2 linked regions of the Kluyveromyces lactis genome follow. Each later gene encodes a partner of the first gene's protein in a complex. Links are inferred from orthologs where the notes say so. Each region holds a gene or a part of one and is shown on either strand. Other genes may lie near its edges. The genes, in order: MUD1 and RDS3.

Evidence for each region.
Region 2: MUD1 (region 1) and RDS3 share a complex: the UniProt entries of both Saccharomyces cerevisiae proteins name them as parts of the spliceosome. The link is inferred for Kluyveromyces lactis from reciprocal best matches to the Saccharomyces cerevisiae genes MUD1 and RDS3.

Annotation. Positions count from the first base shown.
Region 1 is NC_006038.1:785,284-788,164, forward strand, and holds MUD1 (Mud1p), read right to left. Parts: upstream 1,757-2,881; coding exon 839-1,756; downstream 1-838. Other genes in the region: CBP6 (Cbp6p), read left to right, coding at 125-595; TEF2 (translation elongation factor EF-1 alpha), read right to left, coding at 2,214-2,881. UniProt on the Saccharomyces cerevisiae protein: Involved in nuclear mRNA splicing. The principal role of the U1A is to help fold or maintain U1 RNA in an active configuration. It is the first snRNP to interact with pre-mRNA.
Region 2 is NC_006039.1:1,359,121-1,361,176, reverse strand, and holds RDS3 (U2 snRNP complex subunit RDS3), read left to right. Parts: upstream 1-1,161; coding exon 1,162-1,497; downstream 1,498-2,056. Other genes in the region: ubiquitin-protein ligase ASR1, read right to left, coding at 1-888; Arf family guanine nucleotide exchange factor SYT1, read right to left, coding at 1,710-2,056. UniProt on the Saccharomyces cerevisiae protein: Required for pre-mRNA splicing. Involved in regulation of drug sensitivity and may play a role in multidrug resistance.

The sequences.
Region 1 (2,881 bases):
AATCGATATAATGACAAGAAAGTTGGTTTGCATATCTGACGGTAGATACGGTTGTGTCATGCCAGCAAAGACTCTATCTAAACTAGCGAGTTACAATCCATATTAGCACAGATACAAAACAAAGATGTCGCAAGCAACAAAAGAAAGTGCTAAGCAATTAGTGAAGCTGTTAGAGAAGTTCCCTAAGGAGCGTGTTAAGCATCTCATTTCATTCAAAGAGTCACAACTAGATAGGTTCCGTCCAGTTGCCGGAATAGAAACCGGTAGTGCCTCTGAGCAAAGTAAGCCTTCTCTTGCAGAGATTAAGGATATTATCAACAGAACTTCTGGCCCATTAGGTTTGAAGAAAGATCTATTAAAGAAAGTTCAAGAGGCTTTACCAGAAGAACATTTCAACGATACTCAAATCCAAGAACAGATAAGATCGTTGAATGCTATAATGAGCGATAAATATAAGAATTATTATGCTGTAGGGGACAAATTATACAAGCCAGCAGGTAACCCAATTTATTACAAAAGATTGCATGACGAAATCGAAGGTAAGGGTAAGGAAACTTTCTTTACAGCTATGAGAACTGTCGTATTTGGTAAGTAATTTCGGTTTCAGGGTTTTAGAGCTTCGTATGCATATATGTATATATCATTTCTGTCTTTTTCGTTTCTAGTGTATCTGTACTGTACAGGCCTCCATACACTGACTGTAAATAATTTATATTCAATCTATTCTATTTATTCTGTTTATCTGTTGCTGATAAATGTACTATTAAAGCGTAGATTGTTGGTTCCAGTTCCGACCTGTGAACGCTTTGAATTTATTGATTCGCATTGAAATGTAGAATCATTTCTTGGCGTATCCAATCTTTATCGTTACATTCTTGAATGGATGATCATGACCTAAGGTTTCAACAACTTTAGTGGCATTTGCTGTAGAATCATATTCAACAAAGCAAAGATTTCTGACACTGACCAATCTAACCTCTTTAAATCCATCTGAGACAAATAACTTTTCCAATTCTTGCTGAGTAACATCTTTTGGAAGATTTTGAACCAATAGGACATGGTGAGGGGGATTTCCGACAATGTCAAAGACTTTTTTAGTGGAGGAAACTTTCTCCGACTGCTGTGACATAGCAGTCTTGTTGGTACCTTCAGGATTTGTTTTTCTGGGCTTTGAAAGAAGCTTCTGTATGGTTTCTTCGTCCAAATCCTTCTTTCTAAGCTTACTTCTAGCTCTTCTTAACCTTCTTTTCAACACTTCGTTTTTTGTCTTGGTCTTGGGCTGTGAATTATCCACAGCTTTACGTGTACGTAACCGAAGTTCATCCTGTAGCTGTTTCTGTTGTCCCTGGTAGTACAAAGCTGCGAAAGAATCCGTATTCGCCAGCTTTATATTTATCTTTCTCCCATTAATCTTGAGCTTGCCTTGAAATTCTATAAGGAACGTATTACAACTGTCTGAGTCCTTAAAAGTGACGAAACAAGACCTCCTCAAGGGTCTTGAGCCATACCTTGATACCTCTATGATCTGATACTTTTCATCGAGTACTGGTGTAACCGCATCAGCCTCACTAGTTTCTTTCTTCGAGTTCAGATCGAATCTTGTACTAACATCATTTGAAATAGAACGATGATCTGAATTAACACTTGATAGTAGTAAGGCTCTGAATTTGGACAATGAGTCGGGCCTCGACGGTAGATTCGACAGATATAAGGTACTGACCATTGCTTGCCGATAGATACTAGCTTTGTATGGCATGTGTAATAACCTAATAGAGAAGGATATCACAACCTATTAACAAATAGTCCATACGTATTAGTATTAGTAAATTTGTTGACAATGAAAGTTGTTGTTACGTTAAGTTAAGATTATATGAATAACTAAATACTAAATAGAAATGTAAATACAGTGAGAACAAAACAAAAAAAAACGAACAGAGAAACTAAATCCACATTAATTGAGAGTTCTATCTATTAGAAAATGCAAACTCCAACTAAATGGGAAAACAGATAACCTCTTTTATTTTTTTTTAATGTTTGATATTCGAGTCTTTTTCTTTTGTTAGGTTTATATTCATCATTTCAATGAATAAAAGAAGCTTCTTATTTTGGTTGCAAAGAATGAAAAAAAAGGATTTTTTCATACTTCTAAAGCTTCAATTATAACCAAAAATTTTATAAATGAAGAGAAAAAATCTAGTAGTATCAAGTTAAACTTATTTCTTACCAGCCTTGACAGCGGCCTTGGTGACCTTACCGGCCTTGTCAGTCTTGTCAACGGACTTGATAACACCGACAGCGACGGTTTGTCTCATGTCTCTGACAGCGAATCTACCTAGAGGTGGGTAGTCAGAGAAGGCTTCAACACACATTGGCTTAGATGGAACGAACTTAACCAAAGCAGCATCACCGGACTTCAAGAACTTTGGAGAGTCTTCCAACTTCTTACCGGATCTTCTGTCGTTCTTTTCCAACAATTCGTCGAACTTACAAGCAATGTGAGCAGTGTGACAATCCAAAACTGGAGAGTAACCAGCAGAGATTTGACCTGGATGGTTCAAGACGATAACAGTGGCGTTGAAAGAAGCAGCAGCCTTTGGTGGATCGTTCTTGGAGTCACCACAGACGTTACCTCTTCTGATTTCCTTAACGGAAACGTTCTTGACGTTGAAACCGACGTTGTCACCTGGTAGACCTTCTTCCAATTGTTCGTGGTGCATTTCGACGGACTTAACTTCAGTAGTAACACCGGCTGGGGCGAAGGTAACAATCATACCTGGCTTGATAACACCGGTTTCGACTCTACCGACTGGCACAGTTCCGATACCACCAATCTTGTAGACATCTTGCAATGGCAATCTCAATGGCTTGTCAGTTGGTCTGG
Region 2 (2,056 bases), on another chromosome or scaffold:
AGCCTGCTCCTCGTAATTTATCCTGCTGGGATCGAACCCAGTTGAAGATAACCCATATAACTTCCGTGACACCATTTTGTTTATGGCGATGTATCGATCCTTCGATAAAGATCCGCGGTGGTAGAATTTATCCAACTCTGTTCGTACGTATCCTTGTATCCTGCATTTGTCCTCGTAACTGATGGTGTAAGGTTGTGCGAATCTATTGTAAATGCATTCAGTAAGAATACTTCGCTTATCTCTCATCCTTCCATCGTAAATTCTCACGTTCGAATCTCGTATTACCATTGAAGATACTTTGTTCCCACGTAGTCTACAAAGAGTACCATCACACTCTATGCAACACCATTCTTTCTCACCGACTTCGCACAATAACTCATTCAGGCATGAAGAGTGGAATAACGTCTCACATGATTCACAGTATAACGTTATGTCATCATCAATTTCACCGCATAAGGCACATTGCAAGAGCTCTACTCCCTGCATGCCATTATTATTCTGTGGCTGATGTCCGATCTCTTCCGATTGTAGTGTATCCTGGTCACCATTGCCATTAGGATCTTCTTCCTCTTCCTCTTCTTCTTCTTCTTCTTCCTCTTCCTCTTCTATCGCTGCTACTGCTTCTTGCTCATCATCATTCAGTAATCGAAGCTTGGCAAACTGCTCGATCAACGACACATTACACCAGTACTTCAAATCAATCTCGATATCATCATGTTTACGGCGAAGGCTTTTGGACTCTTTTCTGCATGTAGGACACTTAAAATCGTTCGAATATAAGTGCCACTTCCTAATACAAGAAACATGATATCTATGCTCACAGGGTAAAAGCTCCCCTTGATCAGTTTCATTCATAGATTCCAAACAAATACCACATATTTCAATCATCTTGTGATATATAATGTAGTTGCTCGGAGGGTCATATAATATGAACGGTTTCCAAACCTACTTTTCTTCGTTTTTTTGGCCTATCCTGTAGATCAGTTCCTGTTTAAATCAACGGCTGCCACTTAAGCCCATCTTCTATAAAATTGTACCTTAGATATCAAAACTAAAAGAACCCACATATTAAAACAAAGAACAGAAAACTAAGTGTTTTTCCCCATACACCGTCAGGTCTTATTAATCTATTTATATTACTATTATTATCACTGGATTAAGATGTCTCGCCATCAGTACGACTTGGTTATGTGCATGAAACTTCCTGGAACCTCTGTAGGGAAGGTTTGTGATAGATGTGATGGAAGATGTCCCTTATGTGATTCAGATGTAAGGCTAATTTCTAAGGTACGGATATGCGACTCTTGCTCCTCTGGAAGTAGTGGAAGCAGGTGTATAATTTGCGGAAGTCCTGGAACGCATGAAGCGTTATATTGTTGGGACTGCCACAGATCTGAACGAAGCCGAGATGGCTGTCCCAGAATTTTGAATGTGGGTAGCAATAAGACGGACAGGTTATATAACAAAAAGACGGCGGATACCGGCAAAGGAGTATAGGATATCGATTTCTATCTTAAGGAACTATAATTTGTTATTTTACTGTTCATACGCTGATACAGTGTTGTATATTTACATGCATGAATTCTTAATTTCCATCGTTTCCAATTTATGGCATTCTGAGAATGATACTTTTAAAGTTTTAGTCGGTAAAAACATTGAACCATCGCTCAATCTATTTCCGAGATCGAAGCTTGGCCAAAACTTTTTGATTATTGGTTAAATAAGAAACTCTCTTCGATGGAATTGGCTTCGTATCGATTATATTCACTTGGATTTGGTTCCAGACCAAATACAAGCTTCAAGAGTTTAACGTATATATCAAGTCTTTCGTTTTGATATGAGACCATTTCTATTCTTTTTATTATACCATTGACATGATCGATTAAGTTTGATCTAGTCTTTGTTGATAAGGGTACCGTGTCAAGGTATATGTTAAGCTGTGAGTGTAGCGAATACCATTTCGACATATTCTGTTCATGGTTACTTTTCAGCTTTAGTATTTTATCTTCTACTGATGTCCTTCTTTGTACCACAAATGTATTACGCAGTCCGGCGA